3 linked regions of the Sus scrofa genome follow. The protein of the gene in region 1 purifies or fractionates together with the protein of each later gene. This does not show direct contact. Links are inferred from orthologs where the notes say so. Each region holds a gene or a part of one and is shown in the gene's direction. Other genes may lie near its edges. The genes, in order: RASSF1, MAP1B and SAV1.

Region 1 (8,269 bases):
TGTTCTTCCACAAGGTGAGGCACCCGCCCTGCCCACTGGCTACTGCCCCAGGCCAGAGCCTGGCAGCAAGGGGGGTTGTATCTGTGTGGGAAGGGCATCAGAGACAGAATGTTCCCCTCCTCCTGACCCCCAGGAGGTGTGTGAATCAGCAGAGGACACTGTCTTGGACCTTGTGGACTACTGCCACCGCAAACTAACTTTGTTGGTGGCCCATTGTGGCCATGATGGCCCCTCAGAGGAAGAGGAGTCCCAGTACAGCACCCCCATGCAGGTGGGCTGAGGTTCCCTAGGATTGGCAAGGGCTAGACCCAGGCTCCCCCAGGTCTAAGCAGGCAAGAAGATGGCCCACCTTGAACGCCGTGTGTCCCACCCCCCAACTCAGGAACTACAAAAGCAGGCAGAGCTGATGGAATTTGAGATTGCACTGAAGGCCCTCTCGGTGCTGCGCTACATTACAGACTGTGTGGACAGGTGGGCAGCCCTACCAGGTCTGGGGCCTGAAATGGAGGGCTGGGAGCCTGGGCTTGTAGTTTCTCCTTACCTTTCTATCTCTGTCCCTAGCCTTTCCCTGAGCACCTTGAGCCGCATGCTCAGCACCCACAACCTACCCTGTCTCCTGGTGGAATTGCTGGAGCATAGTCCCTGGAGCCGGCAGGAAGGAGGTAAGGTCCTCTTCCATCTGCCTAAGCCCCAGCCCACTGCTTCCAGGACATCCTCCAGGATTGACAGGGGGGCAGCTTGCACACAAGCAGACAAACTCTGCCCCCTTGCCCACAGAGAATACCAGAATGCCTCACCTAAAGTGGGCCTAGGGAGTTCCCTAGTGGCCTAGCAGTTAAAAATCTGGCATTTTCAGAGTTTCCGTTGTGGCTCAGAGGGTAAAGAACCGAACATAGTATCCATGAGGATGCAGGTGCAATCCCTGGCCTCACTTAGTGGGTTAAGGATCCAGTATTGTCATGGCTGTAGTGTAGGCCAGCAGCTACAGCTCTGATTCAACCCCTAGCCTGGGAGCTTCCATAGGCCACAGGTATGGCCATAAAAAGGAAAAAAAGTATTAAAAAATATATATATATGGCATTTTCACTACTGTGGCTCTGGTCACTGCTGTAGCGCAAGTTTGATCCCTGGTCTGGGAACTTCTGCATGCCATAGGTACATCCCCCCCAAAAAAAAACAAATTGGACCTAGGCCTGTTCTCTGCAGCAGGCAAAGAACTCACCCTGCTCTAAAGCAAGCAGCACCCCAGCCTGGGCAAGTCCTGTGCCCAGGCAGTGGTCAGTCTCCCAGCCCACGCAGCTGGCTCACTCAAAGAGCATGCGATGTTTGTACCCAGTATGCTGGTTCCTCTCCCCAGGCAAGCTGCAGCAATTTGAGAGTGGCCGTTGGCAGACAGTGCCCCCATCAGAGCAGCAAAAACTGAGCAAGTTGGATGGGCAGGTGTGGATTGCCCTGTACAACCTGCTGCTAAGCCCCGAGGCCCGAGCCCACTATTGCCTCACCAGCTTTGCTAAAGGACAGCTACTCAAGGTAGGAACTCCTCCCATATCAGCCCCACAGCCCCCTAGCCCTGCCCCACCCCACCCCTGTTTATTTTTACCCACCTGCCTCAACCCTAGGCCTCTCTCCAGAACTTGGGCCTCAGGTGACACACACAGAAGCTAATGGGATGTGGGTCCCACGGGCATCCTTAGTCCAACCCAGCCCAGGGTCTCTCTGTTCCTTGACCTTCTGGTCAGCACTGCTTCACACTGGCCTCCCTGGAAACCCTTGCAGCTTCAGGCATTCCTCACAGACACGCTGCTGGACCAGATGCCCAACCTGGCAGACCTGCAGGGTTTCCTAGCCCACCTGGCCCTGGCCGAAGCCCAGCCCCCTAAGAAAGACCTGGTGTTGGAACAGGTAGGCACTAGAAAGTTAGTTGCTCGGGACCACTGCCCACTTTGCCAGCTCCTCCCTGCTACTCTCCATTTCTCTTCCCCAGATCCCAGAAATCTGGGAGCGGCTAGAGCAAGAGAACAAAGGCAAGTGGCAGGCTATTGCCAAGCACCAGCTGCAGCATATATTCAGCACCTCAGAGCAGGACCTGAGGCTGCAAGCACAAAGGTGAGGCCTGCTGGAAGGGGTGGAAGAGATGCAGAAGGCATGGATGTGGGCAGGGCTGCTCCTGTCCCCCCACCCACAGGTCCAGTCAAGTCCTTCTGACCCTTTTCCCAGGTGGGCTGAGACCTACAGACTGGACGTGCTGGAGGCAGTGGCTCCAGAGCGACCCCGCTGTGCTTACTGCAGTGCAGAGGCCTCCAAGCGCTGCTCACGATGCCAGAATGAGTGGTACTGCTGCAGGTGAGGGTATCCTAGGATCTTGGATCCCTAAATCCCACTTCCATACCCCTCACAAACACTGAATCTTTACTGGCCCACTTGCCTGCAGGGAGTGCCAAGTCAAGCACTGGGAAAAACATGGAAAGTCTTGTGTTGTGGCAGCCCAAGGTGACAGAGCCAAGTGAAGGATGCAGCTGCTGAGGGCCAACCACCATGCCATACAATCCACTAGAGTGTACCCCTGAACCTCTGGATCTCGGCCTGGCCTCTGCAAGTGCCCCAGCCTCCCAGATGAGGAAGACAGCAGGAGGGAAGTGCTGCTGACCCATCTTCCCCAGCAAAGCCATCCCCACTTCCTGCCCCACCCGGCTTAGGGTGCAGCCTCAGCAAGCTGGGGAGAGAGGCCCTGGGCGGGGTTGTGGGGGTGAGAACCGGATGTGGGGACCCTCTTCCTTCAGTAAGTAAAGTAAAGCTGGTTTCCATAAAGACGCCTGTTTTCCGCGTGGTCGTCGTGGTTGTTAGGGGGAGGGGAGTAGCTCGAGGGATGAAGGGAGGTAGGAGGGCGGGGACTCCGCGACAGCAGCACCCGTGCAGCGCCCTCCGGGCTCCACTTCTCCTGCGGGAGGGCAGACGCAGCCTGGGTGCTGGGTATCCCTGGCGCCGCGCTCTTTTGCTCTCCCGCCGCTCTGCCTGAACCCCGGAGGCGGCGCCGCATCGGGGGCCCGCCCCGCGGCCCCGCCCGTCGGGAGCTCGCTCGGCGCCCAGAGCCAGCAGGAGTCCCGGCCGGACCGGGACATGTCCGCTGAGCCCGAGCTCATTGAGCTGCGGGAACTGGCACCCGCTCGGTGCGCCGCCCCGGTCCGCACCCGGCTGGAGCGTGCCAACGCGCTGCGCATTGCTCCGGGCACAGCGCGCAACAACGCAAGGCAGCTGGTCCCGGGCCGAGGCCACCGCTTCCAGCCTGCGGGGCCCGCCACGCACACGTGGTGCGACCTCTGTGGTGACTTCATCTGGGGCGTCGTGCGCAAGGGCCTGCAGTGCGCACGTGAGTAGCGCCCGGGGCATTGGCGAGAGTGAAACGGGTGGCCAAGCTGAAGGCCAAGTTGCTACGGAGGGGGTCAGTGGGGACCACAGACCAGGTAGTTTACTTTTGCCAAATAGCCTAAGACAGTGCAGGCAGATGGGTTATAACCTTGATATCTTACAAGCGTGCCACCTGCATATGGGACATAGGCAGCAGTGGTTGCCTGTGAATAACAAGGTGCTGCTTTCAAGTTTAAAAAGTGCCTTGATCCTTCTTGAAAAAGGCTTTGTACCCACCAGTCTTTGAGTTCATATTCCCACACCTGCCCCTTACAAAGATTCACTCACCAAGTCCCCCTCCAGAATTCCTGGGGTGAAGAGAATTTACCCGACAATGGGAGAAGGCCTTGAAAAAGTTAGACCCTTGGGTAGGCCCCCTGCAAGCAAGAGTTTTTGTTGAAGTTCTCCTTGTGGCTCAGCGGTATCTCATCTGACTAGTATCCATGAGGACATGGGTTCGATCCCTGGTCTTGCTCAGTGGGTTAAGGATCCGGCATTGCCATGAGCTGTGGTATACGTCGAAGATGTGGCCTAGATCCTGCATTGCTGTGGCTGTAGTGTAGGCCGGCAGCTGCAGCTCAAATTAGACCCCTAGCCCAGGAACTTCCCTATGCCGTGGGTGCGGCCCTTAAAAAAAAAAATAGGAGCGTCCACACACCAGCTGATGCTTCTGCCCTCCAGGAACCACCAGCAATAAGAGGTTGCTCTCCCCCCTGGCTATACACTTAGTATGCTTTTACAGTCCTCCAAACCTCTATGCTTGAATCCTACCTGAGACCTGTTGAATCGATCACGAGAGTGTTATCAGCGATTTTTAAAGACAGATCATTCTAATGTGCAGCCTGGGTTGTGAATCAGTGCTCTGGCCCATTTAGGAACTTAGGGAAGCTGTCCCAGGCCTGTGTGTCCAAGGATAGCCTCATCAGGTACAGGAGTTTGTCCTGAATTCAGCTGGGAGGAGCACAGGAGTTGTTACAGAATGCAAAGCATGAACAAGGGCTGGGACATTAGCACTGTTCCCAAGTAGAAATAAAGTGAATATGAAATTGAAAAACAGGAAAATTTGGATGTGTGTCAGAGGCAGAAACAAGGGAGGAATTAAGGATGAGTTAGGGTGATTTTTTTGCCTCAAACAACTGGGAAATTTTTGCTGAGATGAGAAGCTCTGGCAAGGGTAAGAGTGAGGAAAAGTGAGTTTTAAAGGGTAGGAAAGTGAGTTAAATTTTGGTCACGTTGGGTTGAGATATCTATAAAACATCCAAACGAAGAAACTGACACATGGGATTTGATGGGGTTGGAGTCAGTGAGGGAAGCCTTGGATCTCGGGTAGGTCAGTGTACACAGAGCAGGGAAATGACCAGGACTGAGCCTTTGACACTCCACTAAATCTGGAAGTTGAAACAGCAGGAGCTGTAGAGAGGTGGGAGGAAAACCAGGGTAGCACCCCCTCCCCGGGGTGGGGATCAAGGAGAGCAAGCATCAGACAATGCTGAGGAGGCGAAGATGGAGAAGGGCCCACTGGATTTGGTAATGCACAGGTCGCTAACAACCCTGAACAGTGCCGTGTCTGGAGGAAGAGGCAAGCCTAACTGGGATGGGTAAAGGGTGAAGGCGAGGAATTAAGTGTTTGTAGACCAATGTTGGTAAGCTTTTGGTGCCAGGGGAGTACAAATGACACCGAGAGGGTAGAGAGCATTGGGTTAAAAATTTTTTTATTTTTTTCCCCTTCAAATAAATGGGCGGAGGGAGGGGCACTGATAATAAGGAAGGGGAAAGTTCTGTCCTAAGCGCTAGGAATCCAACTGCTAAGCAGGCCTAACCTAACGCGTGAGGCCTTCAGGCGCCCCCGCCAGTTTTCAGGCGCCCCCGCCCCCACCCCCATCCCCCGGGGACCAACACTGAAAATCTGTGTAGCAGTGGGGCGGTAACGGGGCCGGAGATGAGGCAGGTCATGCAGAGCACAGAGAGCAAAGGCCTTCACACCGAGGCTTCCCTTCTGTCCCTGGGACGCTTCTCCAAGCTGCTGCTGGGGTTTTTCCGCCTCACGACCAGACCTCTCTGCAGATTGCAAGTTCACCTGCCACTACCGTTGCCGCGCGCTTGTCTGCCTAGACTGCTGCGGGCCCCGGGACCTGGGCTGGGAACCGGCGCTGGAACGGGATACGAACGTGGTGAGCACGGGGCAGGGGAGTTTATGGGCAAGGCAGGGAGGAACAGACAAGCGGGGCACATTGCAGGCGTTCCTTAAAGCCGTCCGGCGCTACGCGCAAGGAACGTTGTAACTTCTCCGTAGCAGAGAAGCTAACTCTGTGCGAGGACTCGAAGGGGTACACCGGGTGTTGACTAGGCGCTGTCCACCAGGAGCCGCCCAGGCTCCGCGCAAGCGCAATTTCCACACCTTTCCACATCTGCATCCGGTCTTGTGGCCACGCTGGTGCACATGCGCACACTCTCGGACTAGTTCCTGGTGGGAAGTGAGGCCTGTGAGGCAGAGTTGAGCTGCGCTGCACTGGCGAAGATATCGCTCCTGGAGGCGTGGCCTCTGTGGTCCCGCCCTTCGACATTCCTCCTCCAATGACATGAGAGCTAGATCCTGGCTGTCTACGTTTCAGTGTTAACGGTTGCGGTGCGGATACAGGTTCCGGCGCACGCGCACACATACATGGGCGCGCGTGCGCACACGCGCCTGGGGCGGTGGTTGGAGGCTACCGGGACACGGGGGCTGGCTGTCGGGCGCGGCGATGGGTGAGGCGGACGCGGGGACGCCTTCTTTCGAGATGACCTGGAGCAGCACGACAAGCAGTGGCTACTGCAGCCAGGAGGACTCGGACTCAGAGCTCGAGCAGTACTTCACCGCGCGTACCTCGCTGGCTCGGAGGCCGCGCCGGGACCAGGTGGGGGCCAGGGGTTGTAGGAGGCGGGCTGCGGGCGGGCGCTGGGACCTCGCCCTTCCCCGGTAAGTTGAGGTGTCGGCACTTTGTGGGCAGCTCCGCCCTCCCGTCAACGTGGATCCGGGATTCGACCCTGGCCAGCCCTCTGAACCGTGTGTTGGGCTTTCAGCGTGTTGGTACCAGAGGTGGCAGCTAAGTAGTTTGGGGTAGACGGGGGACGGGCGTTACCCACCCATTACTGAGGCTCACTGCGCAGTCTGGACTAACACCTTGATTTCCGCGGGCTGGCGCTCCTCCCATTTCCCACCCTCGCTCTGGGGATCGCCCGGAATTGAGAAGTGTATTTGGGAGACCAGCAGAGGGTCTGGGCCCCTCCATTTGCCCTCCTGAATTGAGCCAATTTAGTCCCCACCTCTTGGCCTGTTACCAGCTGCTGGAATGTGAAAGATTCTGATGCTCCTTCCTCTGAAGTGTATCAGGAGTGCTCGCTTGGGCAGCACATCTACTGAAATTAGAGCAGACCTAGAGAAAGGGGATTTGGGGATGGATGGGAAGGAAGTTTTATTTTGGACTGTAAGCATCCAAGAGCACTTTATCCACAAGAAGTAAGGAAAGTTAGATTGAGAGTGGCCAAGAGAAATAGGAGTTACTAATCCAGGACTAAGGTGTGGTGCCGGAACAGCTGTGCCTCTCACAATCTCCCAGTTGTCCCCCTTATCGGAGACCTCTATGCTCTGTGACGTCAGTGTGACCACTGGGTTCAAATAACAGTTCTGGAGCTGATACATCTCAGAGAAGCACCCTGGCCAAGGCATCAGGAAAGAGTGATGGGTACCACGAAGTGAAGTTACTAAACTAATACCTGGCAGCAATGGGGGCAGAATTCCTTATGTGAGCCAAGAAGAGGGAGTTGTAGATAATTCGTTAGATGAAAATTTTGTACCTCAAATACTCAGCCCAGAGTTAGGGTGCAAGGTTTGAGTGTGGATCCCTGGGACTGTGTCACTCTGGCCTGAGACATTTTCCTTTGTGGAAAGGTGAGAAAATCACATCACACCAGGCAATTGAAAAGGAGGCTGGGGAATCCCAAGTTGTATGTAAAATAAGACCATCAGGAGTTCCGGTCATGGCTCAGTGGTTAACGAATCCGACTAGGAACCACAAGGTTTCGGATTTGATCCTTGGCCTTGCTCAGTGGGCTGGGGATCTGGGGTTGCCGTGTGCTGTGGTGTGGGTCGAAGACGTGGCTCAGATCTGCCATTGCTGTGGCTCTGGCGTAGGCCGGCAGCTGCAGCTCCAATTGGACCCCTAGCCTGGGAACCTCCATATGCCATGAGTGCGGCCCTAGGAAAAAAAAAAAAAAAAAGACTAAAAAAATAAAATAAAACCATCAGTTACTCTGGGCAGTGGCAGAGAGTGGTGGGTGGCTACAGTGCAGAAGGGAAGTTGCATGATCCTGTTGTGTATCCCTCTGGGATAGCTGCTGAAATCCTCCACTGAAATGCCTCCAGTCCAAGTCCTTTGTTTTATGAGTAGAGATGCGGAGGGAGATCCACCTGAGAAGAGAAAGGGCTGGAACTGAGGTCACTGCATCCAGCTCAGGGTTCCTGGATAACCCAGGAAGGGAAGAGGAAGGATCCAGGCTAGAGCTCAGAGCCATCACAAGGAAGGGGGATAAGATAGTGTTATCCCTTTGATCACCCTGCTCTGTAAGTAGAATTCTCTTCTTTGTTGCCCTAGCACTAGAGTCTGCTCAACTTTCTCCTGGCACTGGCACTCCTTCCCATCACATCTCTCCTTGGGTCTTAACAAACAACACCACCCTTTATTCCCAGCCTCTAGCCTTCCTCTTACCCCCAGATGCCTTATTTTCAGGGCCCACACCATTGGGTCTTACTATTTTTCAGGGTTTCCCACTGTCTCCACCAAGGTTTCTACTAGAGTTTCACTTCTCAGTGCTTTTTTCCATGTAG
Region 2 (7,545 bases), on another chromosome or scaffold:
CTACTGCTCTGAAGACAAAGAAGTGCGAGCCAGTGCCACGTTGGAGGTCAAAGACACCGTCTCTGCAGTTTCCGATGAAAAACTTAGTCCACCCAAGAGCCCGTCCCTGAGTCCATCTCCGCCATCACCCATAGAAAAGACCCCTCTGGGTGAACGCAGTGTGAACTTTTCTCTGACACCCAATGAGATTAAAGTCTCAGCAGAGGCGGAAGTAGCCCCAGTGTCTCCTGAGGTGACCCAAGAAGTCGTTGAAGAACATTGTGCCAGTCCTGAGGATAAGACCCTGGAAGTGGTGTCTCCATCTCAGTCTGTGACTGGCAGTGCTGGCCACACACCTTACTACCAGTCTCCCACTGAAGAGAAATCTGGTCACCTTCCCACAGAAGCCATTGAAAAACCAGCGGCAGTCCCAGTCAGCTTTGAATTCAGTGATGCCAAAGATGAGAGTGATAGGGCTTCCATAAGCCCCATGGATGAACCTGTGCCTGACTCAGAGTCTCCTATTGAGAAAGTTTTGTCTCCTTTACGGAGCCCACCGCTAATTGGATCCGAGTCTGCATATGAAAGTTTTCTAAGTGCCGACGACAAGGCTCCTGGTAGATACACAGAAAGCCCCTTTGAGGGAAAGAATGGAAAACAAGGCTCTCCAGACCAAATAAGTCCAGTTTCCGACACGACTTCCACTGGTCTTTTCCAAGACAAAGAGGAAGGGAAAAGCACAGACTTTATACCAATAAAGGAAGATTTTGATCAAGAAAAGAAAACTGACGATGTTGAGGAGCTGAGTTCTCAGTCAGGACTGGCTCTGGATGAAAGGAAGTTAGGAGATGTTTCTCCTACACAGATAGATGTCAGTCAGTTTGGATCTTTTAAGGAAGACACTAAGATGTCCATTTCTGAAGGCACTGTCTCAGACAAGTCAGCTACCCCTGTTGACGAGGGTGTGGCAGAAGACACATACTCTCACATGGAGGGAGTGGCCTCGGTCTCCACAGCTTCTGTGGCTACGAGCTCATTTCCAGAGCCAACAACAGATGACGTGTCCCCCTCGCTGCATGCGGAGGTCGGTTCCCCACATTCCACCGAAGTAGACGACTCCCTTTCAGTGTCTGTCGTGCAAACGCCCACCACTTTCCAGGAAACAGAAATGTCTCCATCTAAAGAAGAATGCCCCAGACCAATGTCAATTTCTCCGCCAGACTTCTCCCCTAAAACAGCCAAGTCTAGGACACCAGTTCAGGATCACCGATCTGAACAGTCCTCCATGTCTATTGAGTTTGGCCAGGAATCCCCTGAGCATTCTCTTGCTATGGACTTCAGCCGACAGTCTCCAGATCACCCTACAGTGGGTGCAGGTATGCTTCACATCACTGAAAATGGGCCAACGGAGGTGGACTATAGTCCTTCTGACATGCAGGACTCCAGTCTGTCACATAAGATCCCACCAACGGAAGAGCCGTCCTACACCCAAGATAATGATCTTTCTGAGCTCATCTCAGTATCCCAGGTCGAGGCTTCCCCATCCACCTCTTCCGCACACACCCCTTCTCAGATAGCTTCTCCTCTCCAAGAAGATACTCTATCCGATGTTGTTCCTCCCCGAGATATATCCTTATATGCCTCCCTCACCTCTGAAAAAGTGCAAAGTCTGGAAGGAGAGAAGCTCTCACCGAAATCCGACATCTCTCCACTCACGCCGAGGGAGTCCTCTCCTTTATATTCCCCGAGTTTTTCAGATTCTACCTCTGCAGTCAAGGAGAGCATTGCCGCTTGCCACGCTGCCTCTCCTCCACCGACGGATGCAGCATCCGCAGAGCCCTATGGCTTCCGTGCCTCGATGTTATTTGATACGATGCCACACCATCTAGCCTTGAGTAGAGATTTGGCCACATCGGTCATGGAGAAGGACAGTGGTGGGAAGACACCCGGCGACTTCAGCTATGCCTATCAGAAGCCGGAGATGACAACCAGGTCCCCAGACGAAGAGAGTTACGACTATGAGTCTTATGAGAAAACTACCCGGGGTGCAGATGTGAGTGGCTATTACTATGAGAAGACAGACAGCCCTGCCAAATCCCCATGTGACAGCGGCTACTCCTATGAGGCCATTGAGAAAACCACCAAGACTCCTGAAGAGGGGGGCTATGCCTACGAAATTACTGAAAAGGCCACACGGAGCCCCGAAGAGCCTGGGTACTCGTATGAGATAAGTGAGAAGACAGCAAGAACCCCTGAACTGAGTGGTTACAGCTACGAAAAGACTGAGAGGTCTAGAAGGCTCCTGGATGACATCAGCAATGGATATGATGACTCTGAAGAGGGTGGCCAGACACTTGGGGATTCCAGCTATTCTTATGAGACCACTGAGAAAGCTGCCAGTTTCCCTGAGTCTGAGAGTTACTCCTACGAGACCTCGACAGCCACTACACGAACCCCTGACACCTCTGCATACTGTTACGAGACTGCAGAGAAGATGGCTAGAACCCCCCAGGCGTCTACCTATTCCTACGAGACCTCAGACCCGTGCTACACCGCAGAAAAGAGGTCCCCCTCTGAGGCTCGCCAGGATGTTGACTTGTGCCTCGTGTCTTCCTGTGAGTACAAGCATCCCAAGACGGAGCTTTCGCCCTCCTTCATTAACCCCAATCCTCTCGAGTGGTTTGCCAGTGAAGAGCCAGCTGAAGACTCAGAGAAGCCCCTGACTCAAACAGGGGGAGCCCCCCCACCTCCTGGAGGAAAGCCCCAGGGCCGACAGTGTGATGAAACCCCTCCCACCTCAGTCAGCGAGTCCGCCCCGTCTCAGACCGACTCTGACGTGCCCCCGGAGACCGAAGAGTGCCCCTCCATCACAGCGGATGCGAATATCGACTCTGAAGATGAATCTGAAACCATCCCCACAGACAAAACCGTCACGTACAAACACATGGATCCACCTCCGGCTCCCATGCAGGACCGTAGCCCTTCCCCACGCCACCCTGATGTGTCCATGATGGACCCAGAGGCCTTGGCCATTGAGCAGAACCTGGGCAAAGCTCTGAAGAAAGATCTCAAAGAGAAGACCAAAACCAAAAAGCCAGGGACAAAGACCAAGTCGTCCTCACCTGTCAAGAAGGCCGATGGCAAGTCCAAGCCTTCTGCAGCTTCACCGAAGCCAGGGGCCTTGAAGGAATCCTCAGATAAGGTGTCCAGAGTGGCTTCTCCTAAGAAGAAAGAATCTGTGGAAAAAGCAACAAAAACTACCACCACCCCTGAGGTCAAAGCTACACGTGGGGAAGAGAAAGACAAGGAGACCAAGAATGCCGCCAACGCCTCCACATCCAAATCGGTAAAGACGGCAACCGCAGGTAGGTGGAAGGTGCTGGCATCCTGCTACAGGACATAATGAGTCTGCTTTTAGCTGCAGTCTCTGGGCTTCCATTTGACTTTGAACTAGGGACCTGAGAGAGCACACTTGGTGTGCTCCCTTCCCGTCACGGTTTTCTTCTGCCAGCAGGTATAGCTCTCAGGCCAGTGTAGCCCCTGGGCCTGGGATGGCTCGGCATATGGCCCACGGAAGCTGTGATTCTCCAGCTGTGACCCCTGGGCTTGCTCCCTTTTGCAACACAGCAACTATAGCCTTGTTCTGCATCTTCAGAACCAAGCATCTGTGTTTCAGGCTCCTCTACAAGATTCCGGAGGCATTGGCTTTTGCCATCCTGGCCCCAGAATCAAGCTGAGGTGCCAAAGGCCTAGGGAGAATCAGAGTTCCAAGACATGCCTGGAATAACTAGTGTGGGTCCAAGATTTAGGTTCCATTTTTTAAAAAATAAAAATATTTAAAAGTTACAACGTCTTGAAAATTGAAGAGTATACACTTTTTAATTAGGAAAAAATCATCAGGCTGGAGATACATCCTCATTAAAAATAATGCTCTGTTTTATCAACCAGCAAATTTACTGGACTAGTGGGTACCCAGTACAAGTCGAGAGAAAGGCATGAACCCCAACTAAAATTTGCTACCAAACTTGCCAAACATACACTTTAGCTCACACAACTGATTTAAAAAAATTTTTTTTGTCATTTAAAGAGATGACAAATTTTGAGGCCAAGTTAGTTGGTTTGAATTTACTTTGAAGATGCTTTCCCAATAGATTGCTGAGAAGACAAAATCACACTATTAATTAACTTTAAAACAAACCTTGGTCGACTTCTGCCATTTCCCTCAGTGTGGACCTCTATGGGCAATGTTCGTTTGGTGATGATGGGAGTGATTTAATATGCAAGGGGAAACTGCTGACATTTTTAATTATTAGAAGGAAGGTAAGTCACAAGCAGAATTCTCTGGAGACTTATACACGGCTATGTTGAGGGCTTCCAGCTTAGGTTCATTAAAACGCTGGTTAATCTAGTCATAAACTGAGTGAGTTTATCCAAATGTCAGTGTGGCTGATTCTCACCACTCTCCTACTCTCCTGAAAATAAAACTAGTCCGTTGATGGAATTCATTGCTGGTTTCAACTCTGGGATGACAGTCTCCCAGAGACTGTCCTACATCTCATGGAGAAAGGCAAGAAGATGAAATATATGGATCTAGCTAGTATTTTAAATGGCTTTACAGTGGTCTCAAAACAGATACACACCACCTGTTAGCTGGGGTGCTTTTAAAAAATGGTGGCTTGGAGTTCCCATTGTGGCGCAGAATCCAACTAGGAACCATGAGGTTGTGGGTTTGATCCCTGGCCTCACTCAGTGGGTTAAGGATCTGGTGTTGCCGTGAACTGTGATATAGGTTGTAGACGTGGCTTGGATCCCACGTTGCTGTGGCTGTGGTGTAGGCCGGCGGCTACAGCTCTGATTAGACTCCCTAGCCTGGGAACCTCCATGTGCTGAGGGTGTGGCCATAGAAAAGACCCCAAAAAAAAAAGGTGGTTCCCAGCTCCATGGAGCCAGACTCTGGGCGTGGGGCCTGGGCATTGGTATTAGGCATGCTGCATGATTCTGATCATGTGGCCAGGACGAAGAACCACTGCCTTAGAGTGCTCATTCTATTAATGTCTCAAAAAGCTTAAACCTTCCAATTAGAAAATGTCAAAAGCCAGCTCACCAGACAAGGTGCCAAAACACGGGGTTAATCTGAATCTTTACTTTGCCCAGGTATTCTGATTTAGACTGGGCATTTTGGCTGCCACAGGCCCCTTACCTCAGTTTGGTATGTCCTGTTTGGCTGGAGAAAGCCTAATCTTTCTGAACCTTCCTCTTGCCAAAGTTTGGTATCCGGTGTTGTCTACGGAGAGACGTTTCACATTTTTGAGTACGACCTAAGGAGAGAATACAGCATTTCGTCAGATCATGAATGAGGTTGAGGTGCTGAGGGCCTTGGAAATCCTATGATGTTAAGATCAGACCACTGGCTAGGTCGAACGTTACGGTATCACAATCAGCTCTGGGCAACATTGCTTTCAAATGAGATCTAACATAGATTCTTAAGATTGCTCGACTATGGTTTACCAAATGCAGGTGCTTTCTTTGGCTCTTTAAAATCTGGTTCGTAGACTACTTTTCAAATCCCACTGGGCATTAGTAGCTCTTTTGGGAGGAATGTTACCATCTAGTTCTATCTCAGGCAAGACCTTGAAACCCTTCTTACTTCCTAGTGGGTTGTCTGCAAAGGGAGACATCCCATCCTTCATTTCTCCTGTTGAGATGGAAAACAATCAGGTAATATTTTCTCAGCTTGCCAGTGTCAAATGCCCTCTGCAAGAGAAGGAAGTGCCCGGCACCCTCACCTCTACATAGCCTAGAGGACCTTCTTGGGAGTGAGGAGGGGAGGTGTACTGGACAGATGGGTCTCTTTGCATTCCTGTGACCCTGGCTTTTTTTCTCTTTTTGTTTCTTTCCTGAAGGACCTGGAACCACCAAGACATCCAAGCCCTCGGCAGTGCCTCCCGGCCCCCCTGTGTACTTGGACCTGTGCTATATTCCCAACCACAGCAATAGTAAGAACGTCGATGTTGAATTTTTCAAGAGAGTGAGGTCGTCCTACTACGTGGTGAGTGGGAATGACCCGGCTGCTGAGGAGCCCAGCCGGGCTGTCCTGGACGCCTTGTTGGAAGGGAAGGCTCAGTGGGGCAGCAACATGCAGGTAAGAGCTCCAGGACAGTGTCTGCACGGCACACGGAGCGGTGTCCAGAGGCAGAGGGTAGGAGGCCCGTTCAGTGAGACTTAGGACTGTGGATCACAGGAGGTAGATCTGCCACACCTGAAATAGCCTGAGGACAGAATGAGTTAACACACAAAAGATGGTCTGAAAGTATTCTTGTTAGCACCAACCACCACGGACTTGGCGGAAAGCCACATTACCTTCCTAAAGCATAATTCATTTCTCTGCAAAGTGGGCCCAAGACTACTTACCCTTCACCCTAATCTACCAAGAATATTAACCAGAGTAACCAAGTGGTAGGTAATATTCCCATGTAAGAGTGGATAAGTTAGCGTCTTTACTCCTTTGTCCTTCGCAAGTAGGCCAGAGCTAGGAATGTGGCCATTTAGAAAATAAGCTGTCCATGTGAGATTCTGCAGGGGGGCCACTGCTGAAAAAAGTGGTCCCCAGTAGGGCATGCCAGCTCCCAAACATCCTAACTGGCCACAAACCACTCTTACTTTAGCTGTGATTTCTGCTTATCTAAGTTTTATTATGGTTTATGTATAGTCATCTAGTAAACTGTGCATAGCATTAAATGGAAATACTCATTTCATCATATGAAACCTAATGAGAAGCACCCAGTGACCTCTTCCTGAATACTAGATGGAATTTTTGCTGTTCAAGCCCGTATCTATCCACCTACCCCTCCCACTCCATGTCCCCAGTCACACACACAAATTAAAGGCACAAATCTTGGGAGTTCCTGTTGTGGCTCAGCGGGTTAAGAACTTGACTGGTATCCATAAGGATATGGGTTCAACCCCTGACCTCGCCTGTGGGTTAAGGATCTGGTATTGCCACAAGCTGCAGTGTAGGTCATGGATGTGGCTGTGATGTAGGCCAGCAGCTGCCGCTCTGATTTGACTCCTAGCCTGGGAACCTCCATATGCTTTGGTGTGGCCCTTTAAAAAAAAAAAAAGAAAGATACAAATCTTTGTTCTCAGGATGAAATTAGTTACAAGCAATCAGTTTCAATAATAACTAAAGCACCTTGGATTAAATATGCAATATCTTTAATGTAAAACTGACCAGTTGTGTTAAAGGAAATACTTCTTTTAACACTAAGGAATTGAAAAACCAGTGACTATACAGATTGCCAGAAGACACATGAAAAGATGCTCAACACCGCTAATTATTAGAGAAATGCAAATCAAAATACAGTGAGGTATCACCTCACGCTAGTCAGAATGACATGGAAGCAACCTAAATGTCCATCAACAGAGGCCTGGGTAAAAGAGATGGGGTACGTACGCACAAAGGAGTATTACTCAATCATAAAAAAATGATGTCATGCCATTTGCGGCAAGATGAATGGACCTAGAAATACCAAACTAAATGATGTAAGACAGGACAAATGTCACATA
Region 3 (7,545 bases), on another chromosome or scaffold:
CATAGAGATTCCTAGTAATACTTGCCCAAGATCACACAGAAAGGGGTGGAGAGCATGTTTTTCCGTTATAACCACATCAGACTTGCAGATTTATCCATGTGTTTGCAGTGCTTTCTTATAAAACAGAGCATATTAGATGGGTACATCAGTAACGTGAAACTTGATTTTTAAACCTTTTTTTTTTAATCAGTTTTTCAGTTACATATTAGTATTTTGGTTGAGTTAATGATAACATGCAGTTTGCTGCAAATAAAGTTTATTGAACATTACTTGAAATAATGAGATATATTTGCCTTTTAAGTAAATAACTTGATAGAGTATTTTATATTTTGGTTTTATCAAATGTTGAGCCTTGTTTATTCTGATATTAATTTTTGTCTAGAGTTAGCTTCTGTTGCTTATTAATGTGAGTGCTCTCTGATAGTTTACTTAATGAACTTATAAAACGGTCGCCAAATCCAGTTTTCTTCTTGTTTTAAAGGTATTTGCTTTCTAACCGGGAATGCCTAAGCTATTAAATTCTGTATTCAGAAGTACTGTATCCTTAAAGCCATTGTTCTTCTGTTATCTTCTGTTTTGAATTATAATTGTTCTTAAAGGAGCCGTAGTTTCAGTCTTGGCATTTTCTTGAACAGATCCGACATTTGTGTGCCTTTTTGAAATGAGATCTTTTTATTTTTTAATTTTTGTAGCTAAATTGTTAGCTTTTCCAGCTTTTGATTACTACTTTTTGATTACAGCTTTTTATGTACTACTGCTACACAATTCGACAAGTAGGAAGGCCAGGTTATTCATTTTAAAATCTTTTTAAAGGAAATCACTTTTATGTGTTTGCGAATAGAATTATAAATTATTTTGTTTTCTTTTTTCTAAATTGTGTTTGCTTGAAGGATTTGAGGAATTTTGAAAATGAAGAAAAATCAACAAAACACACTAAAATGTTAACTTATGCTGGTAACTGTGTATCCATTTGTTAGATTGTTTACTGTTTTTATACATTTCATGAGTATTTCATTAATAACATATTTAATAGTTAAACTTATTGACATTTCATCATGTTATGTATGGTAAGATGCAAAATACATTTGATTCTGGCAGAGCTTACACATAACACATTCATACAAATTATAAATTCACTCGGGTGGAAAGATGTCAGCTCAAATTTTATTTTTGGCCACGCTCATGACGTGCAAATTCCCTGGCCAGGGACTGAACTTGTGTCACAGCTGTAACCAGAGCCACCGTTGGATCCTTAACCCTCTGAGTTACGTGGGAACTCCAGCCTCAATTTTAAAATACCCAAATACTGTCCTAAAATTTTTAATTATGTTTTCTTAAATCTGTTGAAGTTTTTCATTTTGGGGTGATACATGTAAATGAACAACTTCTGAAAAGTGCATTACTTATTGGTCCTTTTACCCTTTGTTTTGTCATAGATCTCATGCCTTCATTCATCCGGCACGGTCCCACAATTCCAAGACGAACTGATATCTGTCTTCCAGATTCCAGCTCTAATGCCTTTTCAGCTTCTGGAGATGGAATAGTTTCAAGAAACCAGAGTTTCCTTAGAACTCCAATTCAAAGAACACCTCATGAAATAATGAGAAGAGAAAGCAACAGATTATCTGCACCTTCTTATCTTGCCAGGAGTCTAGCAGATGTCCCTAGGGAATATGGCTCTTCTCAGTCATTTTTAACAGAAGTTAATTTTGCTGTTGAAAATGGAGACTCTGGTTCCCGATATTATTATTCCGATAATTATTTTGATGGTCAGAGGAGGCGCCAGCTTGGAGATCGCACACATGAAGACTATAGATATTATGACTACAACCACGATCTCTTCCAAAGAGTGCCACAAAATCAGGGGAGGCATGCTTCAGGTAACTTAAAATTATAAATACTACGTGAGTTTGATTTATTAACACCTCATTAAAAAAATGTTCTTTTCTGGATTTTCTTGGGAAGGCAACAGATACTCCTAAAGAACTACTTCTACATTTTGCCAATTTGCTAAGTCAGTTTGCAAATAATTATTAATCTGAACTGAGGGAAGGAATTTCATGTCTATTAAGCCATTTAATTACCTTATTTTATAAAAGCTTGGTACGTAGCTAAAGGCTATGTAGACTGTTAACATTTCGAAGCTGGAAAACCTAGAGATTTTAATGTCTATAGTTGGACTGCGTCTAGGTTTAGATTTGGTAAAATGGGAAGGTTAGGATTTCAGAGAAACTGGACCTCAACCTGGGAAAAGAAAGGCAAATAGGAAGAATTGGGCATGATGGGTGACACCATGGGCAACTACATCATTACTTAGCTAGAACTGGCACTGTTTCTTTTAACAGAACTGTTTTCGTAGTAGTCATTTATGTGTCTAGCATTTTCCCCGACCCTCTTGGTAGTATCTGCCTTCTGGGACCTATTTGGGAGGATGAAACTAATATATTCAAGATGATCAAAAAACAGGTAGTCATTAAACTTTGTGGTATTGACTGTTAAGTGCAGTAAAGAGTCAGAAGAGAAAGAGATCGGGGTAGGCTAGAATACTTGGAGAATGGTTTGTGGAAGAGGTTGGTCCTGAACTTTGCTTTTGCTTTTAGCTTAGACTTTAGAATGACAGGGGACATGGGAAGAACATTTTAGTTAGAAAATTAGGATTAGGCCAGTGAAAAGAGCAGAGATGATATAAATCCAAGGAGTTGTGCACTTCTGCATAGTTTGGAGAAATAAGTTGTAAGGTGAAATGGAGATTAGTGGTGCAGCAAGAGCTTGCAGGATTTAAATTTGAGTCAAGCAGAGGCCATTGAAGATTTCAAAAGGACAAGATGTTCATTTTATGAAAGGACTATTTCAAGATTAGCTTACCAGTTAAGATAGATTGCTAGAGAAAAGAGGACTGCAGTGGAGAGGAAAGTGCAAATCTATGATACTTTTGAAGGAAAAATGAGACCTAATTATGGGTTTGGGAGAAAGTAAATCACTGAAGTTTTGAAAATTAAAAGTATGGAGTAGTTGGCAAGAGTAGCTTATTTTGTGAAAGCTGACATTCAAGTCTCATTGGGACATTGAAGAGAAGAGATTCATCTAGAAGTCTATGAATACATAACATAAAATGTCTAGAGGCATATAGAAGTACTGTCATGAGAATAGGTGCGTGTCTTTTTTGTTTTTAAAGAACTTCTAGGTTAAAGGATTAGATAGTTGGATACTTTATTGTGTATTTTGGCTGTTTCTAGTAATCATGTATTTTTAAACTGAAATAATTTGTTTTCTAATCAGAATAGTAAGTTTTAAAAATAAAGTTCATTTTGGGGGTTCCCCTTGTGGCTCAGTGGTTAATGAATCCGACTAGGAACCATGAGGTTGCCGGTTTGATCCCTGGCCTTGCTCAGTGGGTTGAGGATCCGGTGTTGCTGTGAGCTGTGGTGTAGGTTGCAGACACGGCTCAGATCCTGCAATGCTGTGGCGTAGGCTGGCAGCTACAGCTCCGATTCAACCCCTAGCCTGGGAACCGCCATATGCCTCGAGAGCAGCCCTAGAAAAGGCAAAAAGACACACACACACACACACACACACAAGTTCATTTTTATATATTTTAACAAGATGTATTTAGTTATTTCTTTCATCTTTTTCCATGGCATTCTTTTTAAAACTGTGATTATAGTTTGTCCATTTTCATATCCCTGCCTTTTTATATGAATGAGTTTCTTACTGTTATACACTATTTATAAGTACTTTCAGTGATCTTCCATTCAGTACACATTTGATGGGTAATATTTTAAATGACCTATCAGGCTGGGGATGTTTGGAAAGGGGGGAAGTGAGACACATCTGCATTAATGGGCCTTGACCACTAATGGGGATTGAGGGATGAGAGAAAGAGAAGAGTCAGATAGGATTACCAAAGCACCTGGCTATATAGGAGGTACTCTAAAAACAAATGGTTGAGTAAGTGAATGGATCCACAGATTTCAAGTTTGGAGTCTTAAGACAATTTTGGTAGCTGAAGAGTATCGGGAATAATAGCTTATAACAGTGTTTGCCATTAATACCGATTGTTTATATTCCAAACATCACTGATAGCTTATGACACTTTTATACCTGAAGTATGCAGATTTAATGACACCAAGATAAAATCTTGTGTTAAAATCCTGATTCGTTGTAGTTCCCGTTGTGGCTCAGCAGTTAATGAATCCGACTAGCATTCATGAAGACAACTATTCGATCCCTGGCCTCTCTCAGTGGGTTAAGGATCCGGCGTTGCCATGAGCTGTGGTGTAGCTTGAAGACATGCCTCGGATCCTGCGTGGCTGTGGCTGTGGTGTAGGCCGGCAGCTACGGCTCCAATTGGACCCCTAGCCTGGAAACCTCCATATACCACGGGTACGGCCATAAGAAAAAGGCAAAAAAAAAAAAAAAATCCTGATTCACAAAATATCATTGAGGAAATATTGTAAAAACTAAATTTCTACTGATCCTCTCTTAGAACCCTGCTTATGCAGTTTGACGTAGTTTTTGTGTTTTTGTCTTTTTAGGGCCATATCCATAGCATATAGAAGTTCCCAGGCTACAGGTCTACACCACAACCACAGCTGAGGCTTGATCCTTAACCTACTGATCAAGGCCAGGGACGGAACCTGCATCCTCATGGATACTAGTTGGGTTCGTTATTGCTGAGCCACAACGGAAATTCCTGACATAGCTTTTATAATTTAAATAACATACTTTATTTTATTTTATTTTATTTTTGCCATACCTGTGCCATATGGAATCCACCGGGCCAAGGATTTAATCTGAGCCACAGCTGTGACTTATTTCTTCTCAGCTCTGGCAACACTGGATTCTTAACCCGCTGCACCAGGCCAAGGATCAAACTTGAGCTTCCATGGCATCCCAAGCCATTGCAGTCAGATCCTTAACCCAGCAAGAACTCCTAATGACAGACTTTAAAAAAATAACTTTCTCCAATCATGTTTTATTTTTTGTCTTTTTGCCTTTTCTAGGGCTGAACCGGGGGCATATGGAAGTTCCCAGGCTAGGGGTCCAATCGAAGCTGTAGTCGCTGGCCTACACCAGAGCCACAGCAACATGGGATCTGAGCCGTGTCTGCAACCTACACCACAGCTCACGGCAACGCCGGATACTTAACCCAACTTACTTAACCCAACTGAGCATACTTAACCCAACTGAGCGAGGCCAGGGATCGAACCCACAACCTCATGGTTCCTAGTTGGATTTGTTAACCACTGAGCCCTGATGGGAACTCCCTCTCCAAACATGTTTTAGAAGTAAATAAAATAGAAGTTAATTGGATACTTTTACAAATTCAAGAGTATCATTTTAAAAAACACTTGCTTTTATTATGGCAGTTATACATGTTTGAGAAATTTCACTTAACATTAGTTTATATCAGGGCAATAAGATTAATGCCTTTCAGAAAAAAAAAAAATACTTTTTTCTAGGAGGCTCCTAAGTGGCAGGGGAGGACTAAAAACCAATTATTAACTAAACAGAAAAGCCTAACAGCTATTATTTCCAGGAGGGAAAAATCTGAATATGAGAAAATAGCTGGAAGTTTCTTAAATTCATCTTGAAAAGACTTGAAACTTATTAAATTTTCAAGATTTATGCTGTAAAGAGTTAAGGAACATGAATGAATGGAAAGAAGGTAAGTTTGTGGGAGAATGAGGATGTGCTGAGGACACATTTATTTTCACAAGGTTTAAATTTTGATTGCTGTTACTAATGTAATAAGCATCAAAAAAGGTGTGGAAGAAAATAGTTTTGTGATGACTTGAGAGTAGTAGAGCCTGTCAATGAGTTGTCACTTAGGCTTTTAGGAAACACCTTGTCTCAAGGGTTAATTTCATCTTACTATTTTAGCAGAAGTACCAAAAAAACAAGTTGTATAATATCCTAAAGGATTTTAGGGCCTAGCAAGTTCTACATTTAGCTGTGAAATTTGACCTTTAACATTTTGGCCTACATACCAGTGAGGCACTTACTGTATGTGCCAAAGGAAGGAATTCTGTTAACAGGAAGGAAGTCTTTAGTTGGAATACTAAAGGCAGATTGAATTCCTTTGTTTTGCACCTAAGTAATTTGGTTTTGTGCAATTTCAAGTAACAAACTTTTAATTTTTATTTTTAAAGATGGCTAAAGAAATCAAGTTATAAAAATCGAAAGTCCTAAAAAATACTGGAGTTGTGTTTACTCCAGGAAATGCATGAATATTTAGTTAACCAGGAGAACAGATCTGTGGTTGCCAAGGGGGAGGGGGAGGGAGTGGGATGGACTGGAAATTTGGGGTTAGTAGATGCAAACTATTACATTTAAAATGGGTAGACAATAAAGTCCTGCTGGGGACCTATATCCAATCTCCTAGGATAGACCGTGATGGAAAACAGTATTTTTAAAGAAAGAATGTGTGTGTGTGTGTGTGTGTGTATGTATGTATATATGTATGACTGAGTCACTCTGCTGTACAACAGAAATTAGCACAACTTTGTAAGTCAGCTATAATTTGAAAAAAATATAGTTAACCAGAATTTTTTTTTTGAGTGTTACTAATCCTTAGGGGCACAACTTTGTTATTATTTTGAAGAGGAGGAAAGAAGGCAGTTGGCTTTGTTTAATCCTTATATCTTTTTGTCAGCATCTTGATTATAACATGGACACTAAACATGTTTAGTATTACCCTGGAGCTTGTAGCCTTTATTTGAGTTCCATATTCCATTTTATTTTCTGTAGCCACTAAAACATTGGTAAACCAGAATTTTTGAGTTGTCTGTAAGGGTGGACCTTGTAGATACCTGCCCAGTTTTATAACGTTAGTTCTTCGGAAGCATATCTAGTGAAAGCTTAGCAGAAAGACAAAGTAATACTTTCATCTGTGTCTTTGCGAAATCAGGTATTTAGCTTATTAATGTTTTAATTTAAGTGGAAGGTGCTTTGCAGTTAATTCTCAAATGGGAGTTAATTTAAAGTTTATAAATGCCACTCATTCTTTTCTGGGACTAACTGAAATTATGGAAAACTGTATTTTTCCTTGTAGCTCAGAAATAAGTTCTCATTTTTCTTATTGAGTTCAGAATTTATAGATCTCTTGTTATTAGTGGCAATCATATTTTTCTTTAAAGAATTACACTTGACCTTTTCTGGTAAGATTACGTGGTAGGTAATAAATTTGTAACGTGGTCTTACACCATCTGTGTGGCTTTTGGTAGAATAACTTTTTTGTCTTTTTAGGGCTGCACCTGCGGCATATGGAGGTTCCCAGACTAGGGGTCTAATCGGAGCTACAGCTGCTGGCCTACACCACAGCCACAGCAACACCTGATCCTTAACCCACTGAGCGAGGGCAGGGGTCGAACCTGCAACCTCATGGTTCCTAGTCGGATTCATTTCTGCTGCACCACTGTGGAAACTCCTAGAATAACTTTTTTGTATTTTTTATTTTTATTAATGGCTGCACCTGTGGCATATGGAATTCCAGGCCAGGGATCCATTCCAAGCCTCAGCTGTGACCTACACCTCAGCTGTGGC

The links.
Region 2: the proteins of RASSF1 (region 1) and MAP1B purify together in Homo sapiens (affinity purification with mass spectrometry; 3 studies listed by BioGRID and IntAct, counting the BioPlex papers as one, with this or other methods). This does not show direct contact. The link is inferred for Sus scrofa from reciprocal best matches to the Homo sapiens genes RASSF1 and MAP1B.
Region 3: the proteins of RASSF1 (region 1) and SAV1 purify together in Homo sapiens (affinity purification with western blotting; 3 studies listed by BioGRID, with this or other methods). This does not show direct contact. The link is inferred for Sus scrofa from reciprocal best matches to the Homo sapiens genes RASSF1 and SAV1.

Annotation. Positions count from the first base shown.
Region 1 is NC_010455.5:32,819,908-32,828,176, reverse strand, and holds the start of RASSF1 (ras association domain-containing protein 1), read left to right. Parts: upstream 1-2,812; 5' UTR 2,813-3,117; coding exon 3,118-3,367; intron 3,368-5,469; coding exon 5,470-5,576; exon of another isoform or gene 5,577-6,146; coding exon of another isoform or gene 6,147-6,299; intron 6,300-7,832; exon of another isoform or gene 7,833-8,269. Other genes in the region: ZMYND10 (zinc finger MYND domain-containing protein 10), read left to right, coding at 1-14, 134-271, 383-471, 562-662, 1,358-1,530, 1,777-1,902, 1,985-2,106, 2,218-2,343 and 1 more. UniProt on the Homo sapiens protein: Potential tumor suppressor. Required for death receptor-dependent apoptosis. Mediates activation of STK3/MST2 and STK4/MST1 during Fas-induced apoptosis by preventing their dephosphorylation.
Region 2 is NC_010458.4:48,488,762-48,496,306, forward strand, and holds part of MAP1B (microtubule-associated protein 1B), read left to right. Parts: coding exon 1-3,344; intron 3,345-5,882; coding exon 5,883-6,121; intron 6,122-7,545. UniProt on the Homo sapiens protein: Facilitates tyrosination of alpha-tubulin in neuronal microtubules. Phosphorylated MAP1B is required for proper microtubule dynamics and plays a role in the cytoskeletal changes that accompany neuronal differentiation and neurite extension.
Region 3 is NC_010443.5:180,425,485-180,433,029, reverse strand, and holds part of SAV1 (protein salvador homolog 1), read left to right. Parts: intron 1-1,436; coding exon 1,437-1,880; intron 1,881-7,545. UniProt on the Homo sapiens protein: Regulator of STK3/MST2 and STK4/MST1 in the Hippo signaling pathway which plays a pivotal role in organ size control and tumor suppression by restricting proliferation and promoting apoptosis.